Linked DNA regions of Oryzias latipes. The protein of the gene in region 1 binds, or shares a complex with, the protein of each later gene. Links are inferred from orthologs where the notes say so. Each region holds a gene or a part of one and is shown on either strand. Other genes may lie near its edges.

Region 1 (4,365 bases):
GCAGTTGGAGTAATCCTTCTCGTCGTCTGCAGGTTGATTCGTCCATCCAACTTTGGCTTCTGCTCTTGATGCTCTCACCTGGTGAAAGAAAAAGACAAGATACTTGCATTCAATGGTTCTGAGGGGAAAAAAATGACAATTTGAAAAGAGCTTTCTTGGAATGTCCCATATGAAAAGTTTAAAAATAAATATATTTTTTGATGCAGAGAAACATTTTTTTGTTTCATTTATTTGTATGTTTTTGGGTTTTATGTAGTTTTTTTTTTAATTGTTCAAATTTTGCAAGTTTTGTTGATTTTCCCCCTGTTGCTGTTATCTGGGACATAGGATTTATTTCTGAGTAACTGCAGTGTTTTGGGAAATGTTTTTTTTAGATAGGCTTCCTGTTTTTTTTGTGTGCTTCCTGAAAAAACTGTGTTTTCTGTTGTGTAGCTGCATTATGTGAGGGCTATCTTGTTTTTGAAATCACTGTCATGGTTTTCTTGTTGGTTGCTCTTGTTATGTTTTGATTGTTTATTTTTTTTGCATCCTGAAGGATACATTTGCGTGTCTTCACCTCTCCTGGCTGTGGGTTGATCATGCTCACTATGTTCTTCCTGTCCTGTGCCGTTCCGCTGTTGTTAGGGCAGTTGCTTGAGCCTCGGGGATCGTTGCTGACATGGTTTTGCTGGCGGCGACGCAGACTCAGGTTCATGTCACTGATGCTCCTCCGAAGCTCTGTGTTTCTTCCACGGTGTCCACGCTCGCACTCCTCTGGCCCACCACCAGATGACATCCTGGAGCGCCTCCAGCGCACGCCTGTTACCCAGACATGCTCAGCATACATCAGTTTTACCATGAGTCATGCATAAAGAGACAGAACACCCTTGCATGCCATCAGACATATCTGAGAAAGCTCACACATACCTTGGTGGCTCTCCCCATCCCTCTCACGCTCCTGCTCTCTTTCCCTTTCCTCCCTCTCATAGTCCTCTTTCCTGTGGATTTCAAAGCGCCGCTCAAATCCATCCTTAGGTCGCCACATGTCCACTAACAACAAAGGGCATTCCCATGGGGCAACACTTCTCCGGCACTCTGTCTCCCACTTGAAAGCTCCATCTGGTTGTTGGACGGGCTTACCAATGACATCACACAACAAAAAGTCTTCAGGGCTGTACTTTTGGAGAACTATAAGGTAATGAAGGAAGTATAGAGAAGGACAAGAAGAGGGAGGGTGGTTATTTTTCTAAACTCTGCTGTTTATCTTTTTGTATTAAGTCATTCCCAACTGGTTCATTTTTTTCAAAAGCAGTAATGGATTGCAGCAGAGGTCACCGTGAAGAAAGAAAGAAAGTCCCCCTCTGTCATACCTGCGTCATCGTTCTCATCCCTCTCTCTTTCAGTGTAGCGAGTGATGACCTGGGAGATGAGCTGCCTGGCTGTGGAGTGACTGTTAGCCAGCAGGGAGCGATAGTTGGCTCCACTGGAGAGAGCATCACCATAGATCTTTATCAGGCCCGGGGCAGAGGAAGAGGCTGGGGGCAAGTAGTGATGGGAGGAGGGGGTGGCAGAAGAAGCCCAAAGCTCTCTCTCCCTCTCTCCCACTGCTCGGTCCCGATCACTGTTGGAGCGCCCCCGCAGGAAGAGCTGAGAAATACGCTTTGTGCGAGACTGGGGAGCTGCAGGCTTTGGCCTGAGGAAGGCCGGTGATGGAGATGGGGAAGGGGAAGGGGAAGCCAGTGAGGGAGTGGAGTTAGACAGGGATGAGGAAGGAGCAGAGGGGGCCTCGTGGAGTGAGGCTGCGTCCGAACTGGTAGTTGACCTGAGAATGGTGGCGGGGGGTTGGGGCAGATGGACGCGAGAGGAAAGGAAGAGGAAGAAACAAGCCAGCTGTAAATTATGACTGACCAGAACAACCACAATAAAACATACAGATGACAGTGAAACTAAGATAAGACAGCATCAGTTCAATTTTCACTTAAGCGGGCAATGAGACCACAGATAAATATTCATCATGACAGTGAAGCTGAATATAGCATTAAAGGAAATGAGAACAGACTGACTTGACAGAGATAGCACTGGGCCAGCGACCTCCGAGCTTGGCAAAGTGTTTCCTTGGGGAGTTAATCCACAAACCCACAGGGAAATTAAGCTTTCCAAATCGAGGACTCCCAGACCCCTCCATCTAACAGAAAAAAAAAGAATTTTTGTTTTAAATAACACACGATTTCTTTAAAAGTTCATCAAACTATGACAAAATGCGCACATGTCAGGTCTGTCATCAGCTTTGTGTCATCAGTGCCAGCAGAGAAACAATAAAACAATGGGATGATGTCACTATCAAAAGAGTATAAACAGGATACCTACAGCAGGTTGTCAAGATTGTAAACACATGTACACACGTTTACAAAAAAGGCCTTGAAATAATTCTGAAACAGGAAGCGTGTTTCCAAGGGCTCAGGCCCAGCTGTTGGAGTGACAGGGAAAATCCCATTCCAGAGCTCTTTCACATCTCATTCTCCCACTCATACATTTGTATAAATCGTGATTTCAGATTTGAGAGCAATCGCTGCACCTTTGTGCAAAACCACCACCTCTTTAAAGGTTTAGACAGGTCTCAGCTTGAGAAATGTCCACACCTAAGATCTATTCTTTTCCTACCAAGCAGAAGTGATAGCGTTCTTTGAAGAGCCTCCTGCACTTTGAGAACAAACAAACACGGTAACTTCAAATGAAACCAACTCACCCACTGTTGCTTGTGGCCTCTGTTAAAGTTCGCTGTGAGGATCCTTTCACCAGCCTAAAGAGTATTTGCTGTTCAAAGCGATGTGGTAAGCGTTGCCTTTTCTTCACAAGAACGATCCATTTTTGAAAAGCCCTAAATGTTAAACATGGACACCCCTACTTGCAAGTATCCATCAGTTGTTGTCTCTACTAGAACCAAAACACGTTTCTTAGATTTTTCTGTGGAAAAGTGGAAAAGACGTGGTGCCTCTTTCTGTCTGGCTCACAGCTGCTCTGGGTCTATAGATAGAGTAACGGGCCTATTGTTCCAAGTGACAGAATTTCCTTCCTTTGCTTTGGACAACACCTATATCCTGACTGGGAGAAGGAGAGGGAGAGATTGGTAGAAAGTGAGGGAAGGGTACATTTATACTCATATAGGATTTCGACACCTTTTTAGGAATAATGTGAGCATCACACACAGATCCAAATAAATATTCTGTTTTTCTTGTGAAAATTAAAAAAAAAGGTAATTTCTCCTGTGACCGATGTGCTTTTACAGGAACTACTAAAAAAAGCCGGGAAATACTCTCAAGATTGTTGCTATCAAGTCTGGCATTGTTGTGCGAGTTAACCAGACAGGCACACACTAACAAACAAAACTCTCTAAAAAAGGAATTATGTGGACTGTTGCTGAAAAGAGGATGAAGGAAATAGACAGACAGGAAGCTCAGTGTAGACACCTGTGACCTTTGACTTGCTCTTCAACAGAAGGATGCTGACGCATTAAGAAAGGACACTGTCTCGTGTCCCAATTCAATGACTTTTGTACCATCTGAATGGTTGCTTTCAACTTCCTGTAATGACAGAACAGACACGCTTGTTTAAAGTCATCCAAACTGTACACTTTTTTAACACAAGCCCAATGTACGTTATTAGAATCAAGATTTTCATGACTGTTACAACTCGTCAATGGCTTGGGGCACTTTTAAATGTGAAAAATTATAACACAGTTTTGGGGACACAAACTGTTTTATTTTATTTTATAGGTTGGTCATGGTGACATAACCGATTACAGTAGACTGGCTGTCTTAAGTGTTAAAATATTGTGAAAACTTCTCAACCATTATGTTTAACAGACCAGCACGATCAGGCTGAATAACATCGGGGTAGTGTAAAAGATGAAAAAGGAAGTCTGAAGTTTTATTTTGAAAAAAAGAAATGAAAAAATAAAGCTCAATTCAATAACCACAAAAGAACCAAAAGTGACAACAGTGTATGACGCAGTAGGCAGAAATTAAACCTACTTACATTTTTTTCTCTAATCCTCATCTACATTCTTCAGCCTAAAATGTTTATTTATTTATCAATTTATTCACGTTTGAAAAAGATTCTGGAGTCTCCAGTGTTTAAAACAAAAAAACTTGTAGGTCCTAAATAGCTTATTTCCCAGAATGAAATGAGGCAAATTTTAGTGATGCTTCAGAAGCAGAGCTAGAACATCATACGTACAAAGGGGGATGAGAGAGGGGCAGAATACTTTTGAAGGGTGGCAAATTCAATTCAATTTTATTCAATTTTATTTGTATTGCCCAAATTCACAACAACAGTTGTCTCGATGGGGTTCGTATCGGTACTATTGAAGAAGTAAAACATAAAATC
Region 2 (4,510 bases), on another chromosome or scaffold:
AAAGATACATTTTGAATTATGACTTATGAATTACAGCAGTAATCTAGTAATTTGAGAATCCAGATGACAAAACCGATTTATGTTGATAAGTCCCTCTACATCTGGGGATTAGGGGTCAACAGATTCTCAGGTACAATATGACAACCGCTCCAGAGAGACTGAGGGTCGATGGGGAGCCAAAAAAAGTGCTCAAACTACGGTAGTCCTAAAGAAAATCAAGAGACATGGAAGGATTGTGAATCTCAAATACTCTGTTTTTTTCCGAAAATCAAAAAAAGAAAACTCAAAAATAGTAATTATATCATGATAATGACATTAAGTTATAAAATTAAATGATTTATTTATCTTTCACATCTATTTTGACTTAAAAAATGAATTGATTTAAAAAAAACAAAAAACAACCCTAATTCCATGAAGAAGAAAAAACAATAAATCAATCACAAATATGGAAAAAAAGGTTTTTGTTCATCAAATTTAATTAAAACATCATGATACATATAAAAAGTATTTCTTTATTTACCATGTCAGAGAACATCTACAGTAAAGCATCAAAGTACATTTTTGAATCTGAACCTGATGCAGGTCTGCTGTGATCTTTGTCGAACATTGAGACAGGCGCTACATACAGCTCTCTGTCACAGTCGGCCGACATTAGCAATTCTAACTCTGATGTATGAAGGACAAACAGAAACCCGCAGTGAGAAACAGACACACACAAAGAGCCATTGTGATGACCATCCTTTACTCAAGTACATACAAACACAGAAAGGAGATCAGAGAAAGCATGCATGCCCACTGCGCCAATGTCATTACTGGGGTGAGGGGGCGTACCTCGAGGTGACGCCAGCATGCGCCTGATGTGCTTGTTAGCTTAGAAGTGAATGCATGAAGAGGGGAGGAAAAAAAATCACTCCGTTTAAGATGTAAATTTGTGTGGGTGTCACAGCCTTTGCCTCAAAGCCTTTCACATCAGATAAGCAGCATAAGCCTTCCTCTGACAAGATTTGAGGCTGGACTCAAACAGCTGAAGTAACAAGCACTTCATTTATTCGTCCCACTTAGGGCTATGAAAATTAAAACGCTTCCTCGTTTTTGTTAGCAGCTAATGAATACTTCAAAAATGAAGGAATAGATGAAAGACATCACTTAATTTTTTTTTTAAATATAGTAATAAATAAATAAAATGACCTACTGTTCACAGATATGTCGATAAGTCCCTCTACATCTGGGGATAAGGGGTCAGCAGGTCCTCGGGTACAATTATGTCAACCGCTCCAGAGGGAATGAGGATCAATGGGGAACCAGAAAACACCAAAAAAAAAGTGCTCAAACTAGTCCTAAAGAAAATCAAGAGAAGATTTATGTCAGGAGTACATATAAATGATTACAGATTGCATCCATCCTATTATAGTGTAAAAAGTCAATCACATCTGTGACTGTCACTTTAGTGCAAAAAGACCTTAAATCTCCTTCCACAAAGGAACTTAAAACTAAAAGGACTGTAAAGGTGTTTTACAGATCAATACAAAAAGCAAGACAGTCCAACAGAAGGTCAACATCTCTTGATGACAACTACGGCGTCATGAAAAACAAAAGTTAGATAACAGCATTAAAATGCAAATAATCTAGTTTTAACCCAACTTCTAACCTGTAGAAACACAAAACACATAAATGCATACATTTGGCTAGGGTTGAATGGCAGTGAAGCTAAGTAGGTGACTCAACCCCTTCAGTTCAATATACAGCAGGTATCATGTGTCATCCCCGGACGCTGTAACTGCGTTTTACCTCGACTCAAATGAACAGGAAGGCGCCTGGTTCGAAACTTGACAAAAACTTTCTTCAACACGACTTTTTCTTAACGAATCGTGGTTTATGACAAGGCCGTGGCGCACTGTTATCTTTTATAACCGAAAGCCGCTAATAAAATTTGTTTTGTTTTCGAGACAACTTTTTAGCGGAGTTGGTTTCGAAAGGAAGGGTGTGGCTATTAGTTCCCCATTGTAACAAACGCTCTAACATCGTGTAAAAGTTACCCCAATCGACTGACGACTTTACGTAAACGCAAACACGAACTGGTCACACATTTTACCAGACAAATTTTAAACATTACCTACAAAAAGTCTTACAACTTACGTATTAGCATTAAGTTAGCATATAAGCTAACTAACGTAGCTGGAGATCAGGGTTAAACTCCGAACTACAGAAACGATAAAACTAAAGATATTGTGGCCAATAGACAAACAAGTTAACAAACAGATTAACACTAATTCACCGCTTGAATTTATTTTACAACTTTGTTAATGTTCCATAGCGGCTCACTAACTACTTCGCTCAGACACCGAGTGCTAAGTTAGCTTAGGGCTGAACTCTCAGGGTGTCACTACTTTACCGAAAGTTTTACTTAAAACCCCTTTAGAGTTACCAGAATACATACACAGAAATGAGAGGTATAAATAAACGTTCGCTTATCTAAATCACTATAAATGTTTGCACGAACAACTCGTCAGAATCCGCGGTTAGCAACCGTTAGCTTTTTAGTCTTTTAAATTAGCCTCTCAGCTAAGCTATTTACCAACAAGCACCAGTCTTTACCAGCAGCTTTACAAGTTGTCCGGGTTAAAATACAATAGCTGCTTACTGTATCCTTACTGAACTACTGCGTCATAATTGAATTAATTACTTCGAAATAACTGATTTCAACAGTGAGTAGAAGCCTGATGAGACTCACCGTGTTCCGCTACGTGTGCGCTAAACGTTCCGAGCCTGTGGATGTACGGAAGGTTCAGCGGGAGCCGCTGATTGGACCAGACTCGGCCAATTATGGCAGCGCTCTGTAGAGCGGTCACTTCAGCCGCGCGGCTCCTTCTGCTCTTATCATCACATAGGAGCAAACACATGACATGAAGTCTGTTAAAGCGCATGTGCTTACATCTATGCAGCAGGGCTCTAGACTGCCGCTAATTTAGTCGCGACTAAATTTTTCAACGGTGCGCCTAAAAAAAATCCATATTCGCACGCACCGGTGCGCCCACACATTCTGTATTGTAGTGGCCGTGGGGAAAAAGCATCATCTCCGCGAGTCTGAAAGTCTCGTTCCTGTATGTGTGTGTCTGTGCAGGTGTAACACACTTCGAATAAGAATGGTTGTTTTTGTTGATGAGAATGTACATCTGAGCCGTTCAGTTTGGGTTCGTGCTGGCGTCACCTGGAGCGGATCGTGAAAAAAGTCTGTAAAAATTCTTAAACATCGGAGCTTTAGCTCCTGCATTTACAGTATTTCCAGTACCGTAACTTTCCCACCTTTAACGCATTGAAAGTAATTCCAGTGGACTCTTGAGCGGAGAAAAGCAGCTTTCCGCTGATGTGCGCAGCACCGTGCTGTAGTGAAGTGTTTACGTCATCAACGTACATCAGCGGATACCGCAGCGGAGAAAAAAGCATTGCAGAAAAGTGGAGCCGTGGCTCCATACGTTAGTAATGTGCTGCGTATATCGGCGCAAAACCAGAAAGAAATGCCGCTTTTCTCTGCGTCAGAATCAGCGGATTCAAGAGGATCGCGAGAACGGTAAAATATTTACCTTGTATGTCAAAAAATAAATAAGTTAAAAAAAATGTTATTTTCGCTGCAACAGTTTTGATGTTAAAGGATTAACTACGCTGGCCCTAAAGTTCAAATCACATCAATAAATCACTCAACGCAAAAACATGACAATTTAAAAAGCAAAATAAATAATAAGACATTAAGTTTTAGAAATCAAAACAAAATTTGAAAATGACAAAATGAAATGTTTTAGAAAACAAAAGTAATCTTCAGAAAACAAAATGTTAGAAATGATGATTTGATGAATGATGATTATGGGACATAGCTGATTGGATGATGACGTATGTCCATCATATTAACAGTTATTAGACATGTAGCACCTCAAAACAAAAATATGAATGTTACTGCTGACCCAAAAAAAGCTGCTGCTGTCAAAGAATATTTTAATTCAGGACAAACATATGAAAAGATTCTGGATCTGCTCTGCACTAATCACAAAACTTTACGTTTTTTTAACTGAAATTTCAGCTCAGTGATGCAATTATTTTTTATTCATTTTCAAAGCGTTACCAGTTGTCTTTTAACCATGATTTTTCAGTTTTTAGCCAAATATTTTTTCTAAACTGTCGTTTTCTTGGACATAGTTTCTGTAGAGCGGCAGTTCATTACCTCTGAGTTGTGGGTGGGAATGTTTGGACTGGAGTAACCCTCTACTGACATTTCATGGAATCTCTGGTTACACTCTGTCCCACGAGCTTACAGCCCCTCACAATTACAACCATGGCCGGCCCTCCCTATACGCGAATTACGCAGCCGCGTAGGGCCCCCGTCACTATCAGGGCCCCGAAGTGGCGAAAAAATAAACAAAAAAGACCCAAACCTGGCAACCAATTTCATAGAATTTACGTACCAGCGTGCGCTCTGAATGTTGTGCAAGAGAAAGTTGCCTGCACTTTTGTGATCCCC

What was found.
Region 2: the proteins of ras-interacting protein 1 (region 1) and ras-related protein O-Krev are in contact, whole or in part, in a crystal structure (PDB 5KHO), measured with the Homo sapiens proteins. The link is inferred for Oryzias latipes from reciprocal best matches to the Homo sapiens genes RASIP1 and RAP1B. Residues at the interface, in NP_060275.2 of Homo sapiens: Val147, Lys149, Ala156, Ser157, Gly158, Ala159, Asn160, Tyr161, Lys162, Ser163, Val164, Leu165, Glu181, Arg182; in NP_001010942.1 of Homo sapiens: Val24, Gln25, Asp33, Pro34, Thr35, Ile36, Glu37, Asp38, Ser39, Tyr40, Arg41, Glu54, Leu56, Phe64.

What each region holds. Positions count from the first base shown.
Region 1 is NC_019874.2:19,945,457-19,949,821, forward strand, and holds the start of ras-interacting protein 1, read right to left. Parts: upstream 3,024-4,365; 5' UTR 2,726-3,023; intron 2,165-2,725; coding exon 2,043-2,164; intron 1,802-2,042; coding exon 1,350-1,801; intron 1,168-1,349; coding exon 907-1,167; intron 799-906; coding exon 557-798; intron 79-556; coding exon 1-78. UniProt on the Homo sapiens protein: Required for the proper formation of vascular structures that develop via both vasculogenesis and angiogenesis.
Region 2 is NC_019865.2:21,779,926-21,784,435, forward strand, and holds the start of ras-related protein O-Krev, read right to left. Parts: upstream 2,958-4,510; 5' UTR 2,732-2,957; intron 1,338-2,731; 5' UTR 1,193-1,337; intron 1-1,192. UniProt on the Homo sapiens protein: GTP-binding protein that possesses intrinsic GTPase activity. Contributes to the polarizing activity of KRIT1 and CDH5 in the establishment and maintenance of correct endothelial cell polarity and vascular lumen.